2 linked regions of the Solanum lycopersicum genome follow. The main gene of each other region encodes a partner of the protein of the gene in region 2 in a complex. Links are inferred from orthologs where the notes say so. Each region holds a gene or a part of one and is shown on either strand. Other genes may lie near its edges.

Evidence for each region. The genes of interacting proteins can lie anywhere in the genome.
Region 1: conserved oligomeric Golgi complex subunit 7 (region 2) and conserved oligomeric Golgi complex subunit 5 share a complex: the UniProt entries of both Arabidopsis thaliana proteins name them as parts of the conserved oligomeric Golgi complex. The link is inferred for Solanum lycopersicum from reciprocal best matches to the Arabidopsis thaliana genes EYE and AT1G67930.

Annotation. Positions count from the first base shown.
Region 1 is NC_090809.1:2,247,434-2,252,153, forward strand, and holds the start of conserved oligomeric Golgi complex subunit 5, read right to left. Parts: upstream 3,258-4,720; 5' UTR 3,021-3,257; coding exon 1,881-3,020; intron 1-1,880. UniProt on the Arabidopsis thaliana protein: Required for normal Golgi function.
Region 2 is NC_090804.1:1,814,037-1,818,541, reverse strand, and holds the start of conserved oligomeric Golgi complex subunit 7, read right to left. Parts: upstream 3,196-4,505; 5' UTR 3,068-3,195; coding exon 2,783-3,067; intron 2,671-2,782; coding exon 2,581-2,670; intron 2,461-2,580; coding exon 2,341-2,460; intron 2,245-2,340; coding exon 2,143-2,244; intron 2,015-2,142; coding exon 1,740-2,014; intron 948-1,739; coding exon 802-947; intron 394-801; coding exon 195-393; intron 1-194. Other genes in the region: ultraviolet-B receptor UVR8, read left to right, coding at 3,937-4,135. UniProt on the Arabidopsis thaliana protein: Required for normal Golgi function. Necessary for embryo development and pigmentation, especially for the expansion of cells and organs, and for the formation of the organized shoot apical meristem (SAM).

The sequences.
Region 1 (4,720 bases), on a different chromosome or scaffold from region 2:
CCAGCCGGATCCATAAGCTACAGCCTATTAGTATACTACAATAGCACAATCTTAACTTATGGAGTAAAAAAAAAGGGACAAGCAAAGGAATAAAATTGCCTGTTGTTGAGTCCACCATTGAAAAATAAGGTGGATTGTTAGATATTCAGTTTCTAATTGGGCACATCAGAAGATTAAATCTCTGAATCAGTCATATTTAGGGGATGCCATCTTTGCTTCCTTGTGTTTTCTGTTACCAACCTCATCATAAAACACTAAATGAACTTAATGAGGAATATTTCTAAATTAGGTCATGTCTCATCACATGCAAATTGCAATCAAAACAGAGTAGATATTTAAGAAATACGGAAAATTGTCACACAGCCAGACATAAGAGTTCACTGTGTTTCTTAGTCTATTATTAAGTAAATTAGTAGGAAGAGGGCATTATTTGTTCTAATAGATCAGTGGACCTTTGCACAGTGAAAGGAGAAGGCAGCAATTGTTGGAGTAAGACAGCCCCACTCTCAATGCATGAGTTATATTACACAGGGATTATATGGCAGGAAAGATTTTTGGGGGACAAGCAAAAATTCATTTCAAAATTTTATTCTTCTAAGATTTAAATCTTTAGGAATTAGGATCATAGAATCAGCTCAAATACACTTCTCATTTCATTACAGATTTGTTAGCCTTACTTTCTATCAGATTCACCGTTCCTTTAAAAGAACTTACCATACTGTACCCTTGGTAGCAGAAACCATTTCATGGACTGATTAACTTAATATTACCGATGGTTTCCTTTTCATTGTCAAATAAGTCACCCTCAAACACAGGGCTATAATTGGGGACAAAAGGACTTGTTGTGACCCACATTATGAGAACAGAACAACATAATGAGGAGTTGACAGTGTCTCACTACCTCGCATGATTACAGCTAATTTCATCATTTTCCACAGAATATTGCTTTCGGATACCTAAATGTAACTGCATAAGGTTATATACATTTCTTTTGGAATGAAAATTCTTTTACCCTATGGACACAATCAGCTAATCTCCCTTAAAAATTGCTCAAAGTTGGTCTTTTTCGTGTTGAAGTAGATTTCATTAATAGCAGCAAACAGAAACAAAAGCAAAAATTACAAAAGACAGATTGAGTCAGCTCGTATACAAAAATCGAAGCTCTAAGTAGAGAGTTGATGCAATCCCAAAAATGATTGTTCATAGTTGGTCCGCTTGGGTCATACCAAGGTTAAAGTCATAACAAGGTTAACTAAACCTAAGTTACCAAATCGGAGCAACAGATTCAAGCTCAATGCTACCACAAGTCATGAAACTTGGGGGCTCCCTGGGAGTAGCCAAAAGAAGAAACTGCTTGCTATCAGAATTCACTATTCCTCAAGCAGTACTCACCATACTGTACTTTTTTCTGCGAAACTTATACTGACCACTTTTTCCCTATTAATTGCCTCACTAATCACCCTCAAACACAGGATCAGGACCCTGAAAAAGGATATCCGCATTATCAATAACACAACTACATAATGGTGAGTAGTGAAGACAGTCTATCGGTACTTCCCATGATTTCATTGTTTTCCATAGAGTATTCTTTTAGATATCCTGAATGTAACTACCTAGGATTATATATATTTCATTTGGAACCAACCTTTCTAGCAAAGATCCTGATAACACGCTTAAGCTGGCTCAAACCAGGTCTTCGGTTTCTATCTAGCTATAAAGTTATTTTGCAGCTTAACCAATTCCATATTTCCAACACAAGGCAACATATTCAGGCTTAATGTGATCATGCCATTTTAGACTACAAATAACTCAATATAAGAAAAGCATCATATATAACTTCTTAGAAACAATTCATATCAACTAAAGATGCATTCACACACCTGCATGACCTCATCAAGCAGCAAGACATGCGTAAAGGGGTCTCTTTTCTTCGATAAAACCCTCTGCAAATGCCAAACAGCAACCACAATGGAATGCAATTGGTCCATACAACCACTCATCCTTTGCCATAATGCATCCTTCGCCTTTGCACTTCCCCCAAACTGTGGTGTCCCACTTCTCTGCACCCCTCCCGGACCAAATCCGCCACCAGCAGATATAGCTTTCATATCCAAAGCAGTCGTTATACTCTTCACTCCCATTGCCTTATACTTGCTCACTAACCCATCCACAGTTCCCCTCAACTCCCCCATATTATAAAACACCTGAAGCCCAGCCCCAACTTCAGCTTGATTCAAGCCTTCAAGTCCTTTTTCCAAAACTTTCATCCCTTCAGCCCGTAATTTCTGCCCAATTTCAAGAACCCATTTGAGTTCCAAATCAACCACATCAATCCCAGCTAAATGGTACTCATTATAAAGCGATAGTATCTCAAAATGTAGCTGAGCAGCTTTCGAAAGATCCAATTTTTCCGGGTCTGGGGTCGAATCCATGAGATCCCTAAGCTTTTTAGACAACCGAATAGTCCTAATTGTCGATTGAAGCAGCTCAGTAGCTGAATGAAGATTCGAAAGCTGAAGGGTCTTCACTTCAATTACTTGATGAGGATCAGAGAGTTCAGAACGGACCCGACGTAGCGACGACTGAAGAGACGTAACCGATGAACGAAGAGTCGAAAGTGCAGATTCAGCAGCACGTAATGAAGTAAGCTGATTGAGCAAATCATGATGACGTGTAAGAACTTCATGACGAAGCTGATGGTCAAGGAGACGGAGACCTTCTTGAAGCTTCTCGATACGTGAAGCGGTAGAACCGGAGGAAAGTGCGGCGGAGGAGAAACGTGTGGAATCAAAGTCGGAGGATAGGAAGGATGAGAAAATGGGATCGGAAGTGAAGGAATCGAGAGGGGAAGAGGCAGGTGTGAATGGGGTAAGGCCGGAGGTTGGAGTAGGAGTAACGGTAGCAGTAGGGGTGGGGTTGATGGATCTGTCTTTGAAAGTTGAGAGACGTTGAAGGGGAGATGAAGAAGATACGGGTGTAGATGATAAATGCGTTGATCTCTGAATCGCCGGAGACGCCATTGATTCCGGCCACCGGCGATGTAACAAAATGCTGGCTTTTTCTGATCGTTTTGAACTGAGTGAGAATTTGGGTCTGTTTTTCACATTTTCTTAAACAAGTTCTAAAAGAGGAGTTAGTTTATTCATTGCAAATGTAGTGATAAAATTCCCCTATATTTTATCTTTTTGAAATTTTATTTATAAAATTATACGGAATATATTATAGTTATTGTAATTTAGAAAAATAAGTAATGACATATTATTAATCATAATCGTGGATATCATTATATTTCCTCTGTTCCTATTTAGTTGTTCATTTTAGAAACATATTATTAATCATAATCGTGGATATTATTATATTCCCTCTGTTTTTATTTAGTAATTTATTTTAGAAGTGACACACATATTAAGACACCAATTATTATCATAGGTTAATTACAATTTTATCTTTAACTTAAAAAGATTATGCAACTATCTAAGTATAAAAAATATTTTTTTTTTGGTTTCAAAAAGCATGCATTACAACTTAGTAACATTTGAAATTTACTAGAATTAAATAAGGGCATATAAGGAAAAATATTATTGTCTTTTCTTGATTTGTTAAAAAAGACGAATAAATCAGATATAAAAGAAAATATGGACAAGTAAATAGAAACAGATATAAAAGAAAATATGGACAAGTAAATAGGGACAGAGGGTGTATTTGTTAACTAGATTTCTTTCCTTTTCAAGTTAATCAATCGTCTTTTTAGTTAATTTCGAAATTTGTTCTTTAGTCATCTACTTTTAAAGGAAAAAAAAAGATAAATATACCCGAAACTATCGCAAATAATAAATACCCTCCGTCATAATTTCGGGACATTGATGCTCTTGCCGTCCAAAAACTAGAATATATATATACACTTTACACTAACGGACATACACGTGCCATAATCTTATTTGTCGATCCGACATTTATCGACGAATAAAATTGTGCCACATGTTCCTACGTAGTATTCCGTTAAAATGAAGGACATATATGCTCTAATTTTTTAACGATATGGACACTAATATCTCAAAAGTATAACGGATAATATTTACATATCATTTATGATATATAAAGGATATATTTATCCTTTTCCCATAACGGATTATAGAATTTGAAGCCCAGGAACAAAATAAGAAAAAAGTGGGAGATAATAACGGTTTCACACACAAAAAATTTGTTTAAATAATTTTTGAGAGATTTTCTATTTAAGTCAACATATTTTGTTATGTAATCTATTAATAACATTTGTTGTTTTATAATGAATTATCAATTAAGTTAAAAAGAAACTTTTTTAAAAAAAAAAAGTTACAAAGAAACTATTGTAGAAGGATATTTTGTGAAATAAGAATAAATAAAATTATTAATAAGTAAAATTTGCTCAAATAGTTAACAATTTTATCATTTTTAGTAGAATAAGAATTCGAGAAAAAGGAATGAAGTCATTTTAGTAATGCCTAAAAAATGCATAATTGTCATTATTCGTCAGGTTAAATAAAACAATATAGATTTAGTAATTTATAATAAATTTATCGTTGGACAATCTAACTTATGTTATTTATTCAAAAAAAAAATATTGTTTAAACTTATTACAATTACAATGAAACTCACCAAATACATATTATCATATTATATATAAAAGAAACACTAAACTCATTAACATAAATAGATTGCAAGTTTAATGGCAAATAAAAGG
Region 2 (4,505 bases):
CAAAAATGCGTTTCAATCAAATAAAAGACCTTCGCATGAGAGCCAGTGTACTGCTCCTCAAGAGAAAGCACCAAGAAAAATGAAAAGAAAAAAATTGGTATCTGGACAAGGGGATGCCATATGCAGCAGGAAAAAAATGTGAATTTGAGAAGTCAAAAGGGATAAACAAGAATATTTGCTTTTTGTATGCTTACCGCCTTTTGAAAAATTCATAAGGAAGGTACACTGCCTTCAGAGCATCCAGAAAAACTTGAGGATCGGCATCTGAAAACAGGTGTTGAATGTTCCTAGCAAAGCTCCCTGTTGTATTATGAAGTTCAATAAGGGCTTCCAAATGTTTAGTCTGAATCTTGGCACCTTTTGGCAAATCTCCATTTGAAATGTCAATTATACCTGAAAGTCAATGCAAAATCTGAGGCAGAATGGATGGAAAACATCCAAGAACTTTGTTATCCAGGTATAGCGATAGTGACATCCAAAAACAACAAAATAGGGAAATTAGAGCTGAATCTTGCATGCATAAATTGGTGATAGTGACATCCATGGTTGATTTGCACGCTCAAAACTTCAATTTCAACAATCCATGTATATGACTAGTTTAAGCCATTTATATGCTTGTGAACTAGTTGGACACCAATTCTTCAGAATGTTTGATGAAACAGAGAAGGCAACATCATAACAGAAAGATCAGAAAACACGATAAACTTATGCTTAGATGAAACTACATGCAACTGTGAAAGAGAACAAGAAGTTATTCAGATCATGGTTCTCAAAAACTCCTAAAGAATAATAAAACCTCACCTTTCGCCAAGGTTTTTGTCTCAGTCACGGCATCCCCAATGGCAAGATTGATCTGTGATGCAAAACTCACACCAATAGTTGACATTGCTTCATTTAGTAGGCTTGGTACAAGAGTTCTGTATTCTTCTGGAAAGGCAAACATACACCTGCAACAAAAATATCTATTGTTCACTAGAGGATCATTAAATGGAGATATCAGGTTGTCTCCTCATTTTTATTACGATTTCAGATATCAATTTTCCACGTGTATTTACTCTAGTTCCTGCCACTTCAAGATACCGTGAGCAATGAGAAGCACACCTAAGCACTTTCATGACTGCAATGAAGTACCACTTAACTGAAATGAAACTCCCAACCTGCAATGCACCTAAGTTTCAGTACTTAGGTGCGCCTGGTGCCTCAAGGAAGCCTTTAAAGACATTGTTTAAACCCTGGACCTCCAGGTTCTTACTCTAACGCCTAAACCCAGCCAACAACTCGTTTTGGGACGTTTATCCATTTCATTATAGTAATCTTTTTATTTCCTAAGTTGTACTCGAATAAGAACCAATATCGAGATGTCAGTCTAGAATATAAGAATGCTTAATCAGTAACCTCAATTAAGACAAAATTAAAAAATCTGAAAGCAAGAGAGCATATGACTTCCAATCTCTAGGAGGAAAACAAAGTAGATTTTTCTTTCTTTTTTCATGAAAAAGTACCAAGTGAGTTAGCTGGCCCGACATAAGTTGGTCCACAGTTCAAAACTCTGGAGAATATAGCTTTCCCTCTACCCTGCTTTTACATAAATTCCAGGCAACTAGTCAGTGGCAGGGTTCTAACCCGTGACATGCGCCCCATTCACACGTCTCACATTGTGTCCTTCCACTGAACCAAAGTCCTAGGCGCAAAACTAAGTAGAATTATCTAAGAAAAAGTTGCAGAAAAGCTATTCGTACCACTTCCACTCCTGTTCAAGATAAAGCAACAATTCATCGTAGAAACTAGTCAGCCAACTTGAGAATGATATCATGGACGGTTGAAAATCCTGAGAATTTGATAGTCTATCCATTTCACTTTTTTCATTGGCAACTTTATTGGCCTGCTGCCTCAAGTCAAAATCTTCCCAAAGCCGCTTTATTGGCTTAAGGTGGACCATGGTGTAGTGCATCTCTAACGACTTGAATCTCCCAATTCTCAGAAGAATCGCACGCATTTCTTGGGCAACATCAACCTACAAAATAGCAACAAGCGTTTATTACAGTTCTCTTAAAGATTTATGATGCAAGAATGCATTCATTTAAAAACATACAATATAACCTTTAGAAAAGGATTACAAAGGAGAAAGAGAGCTAAAGTAACCTTTCGATTGCTTAGAGCATCTGTCAGTCGAGGTTGGACAACTGAGTCTAGTCTGTCTTCTAAAACTTCTAGTTGCCTCCTAATATTGGCAAATTCAGCAACCTGAAATTGCAAAAGACTTAATAAAGCAAGAACTATTTCACTGCACATACCACACACATTGGCATGCTATGTAAAAACAAGCAAGTCGAAACTCACCTCTCCAACGGCAGACAAACAGTGCCTCATATTAGCCAGAGTTTCTGCAGCTCGTGGAAGGTCACCACTAGCAAATACCTCCTCCACTGTTGAGCTTAATTGAGTTAAACCAGCAGCATCCTTCAAACCAGAAAATTCAAGTATTTCGAAGTCATAAAATCAGAAAATTAGCATGAAACTGGAATAATTGCTAGTGTTAAATACAGTGAATGATTTCATCTAGAGTTATGAAAATATTACCTGCAATGTCTCATATGCAGCTTCCATTCTCCGCTTGACCGTATCAACTTTTGCTAATGTAGCTACAGATTCAGCAGATGATCCCTCAGCCTGTGCAAAGGAATCAAAGTTATGAGATAGGAAATGTGTCATTGCTTTAATTTCAGTGAAGCAAATGATGCAATAACAGAAAATGTAAAAATGTAGGGGAAAGAGAGAGAACTTTTTTAAGTTTTTGGAGGATGGCAGAGAGAGAGGAGCGAAGGGAGAGAGCATCGTCACGAAGGCGGATGACATCTCGATTAGCGCGGGGGACACGGAGGAGTGCGGCGGAGCTTTGCTCCTCCAGGGAAGCGGCGATCTCTTCAGACACCATCTGAAGCTTCATTTCCAGATCTATCAAGTGTTTGTCCAGTGGATCCTGTGGATGCCGTGACTGGCACGCTGAGTTTATCCATTTTTTCGGATCAAATTTCTCGTCGGAGAAGGAACTCAGATCCACCATCATCGTTGCCGCCGATCACTGGTAATCGCCTTTGCTTTGCTTAGACAACGTCTCAAACCACCACATTTAGGACCTGTTTGGAAAGTGAATTTTTTTGCTTTGAATTTCTGTTATATTTGTTTCACTAATATTTTACCTTGCGAGTTATTTATTTTTATTTAACTTTTAATAAATTATTTTTTTAACAAATATTCTTATAATTTGATGACATCAATATTTTTATTAAACATATACTTCATGTTCATAAATTTTTATTAAAATTTAATAAATTATTTTCTTATCAAATACTTTTATAATTCGATGATATTAATATTTTGTTAAACGTATATTTCATGTTCATATAAATTATGCACTTTAGATTTTATGATTATTTTAATTAAAATATACTATTTTAAAAAATATTATAAGATTAATTATTTTTAATTTAAACAATTAATTTTTTTTAATTTAATATTATCTTGTGATTCTATAGTGCAATTAAATAGTATATAATTATTGAAAATTCTAAAAAATATTTTTTATTTTGATTAACTAATTAAATTGAAATATATTCGGATTTAATAATATAAGTGATATATTATCTCTAAATCCTATTCAAATTTAGAGAGTTTCAACACTTTTCGCTTTATTTTATGTTTCTATAAGAATTCGATTGCAGATAAATTAAGTTTAGTTATTTAAATATTGAGATATTTTTAAGGATATCGATAATTTAAAAATAAAATTAATAATTAGTTTTTAGGTAGAAAGAAACTTCTATTTGATAAAATTTAAAATTAAATATAGATTTACAAATAATTCTCTCTCTTTTTAAGATTATCATAAATCATCTCATTTACTGCAAAATCAAAGTTGATAAAAGTACATGATTGATGGAAGAAACCGAAAGAATTAAAAGCAGAGAAGAAGAAGAAGAAGAAATATGGAGCTGGGGAGCAGGAACAGAGGGACAATTAGGAACAGGAGAACTCCAAGATGAACACAAACCTCAACTCATTCATTCTCTTTCTTCTTTTGGTCCTATTTCTCATATCTCTTGTGGTGGAGCTCATGTCATTGCCCTTACCCCTGGTATGATCTTTTAATCTACTCTCAGAACTTATATTCTTGATGGGGTTTATGGTTTTTCAGTAAAGATGACATCTTTTTTCGTGTGAGATTCGAATTTGTGTATTTATGTGGTTTTTACTTGATGGGGTTTGAGTTTTCTTTTTTTGGTTTGGGATTAGGAGGAGGGGAAATAATTACAGGATGGAGAATCGAATTCTTATCGATATGATGAATGTTCATGTATACAACTAACTGAGCTACTAAGATTTCTCGTGTTTTAAGGTTTTGCAGTAAAGTTGACACCTTTTTTGTGTGAGATTCAATCTGTGTATTTTCTACTTGATAGGGTTTAAGTTTTATTTTGGAGGGTGGGGTTAGGAGAAGGGAAAAT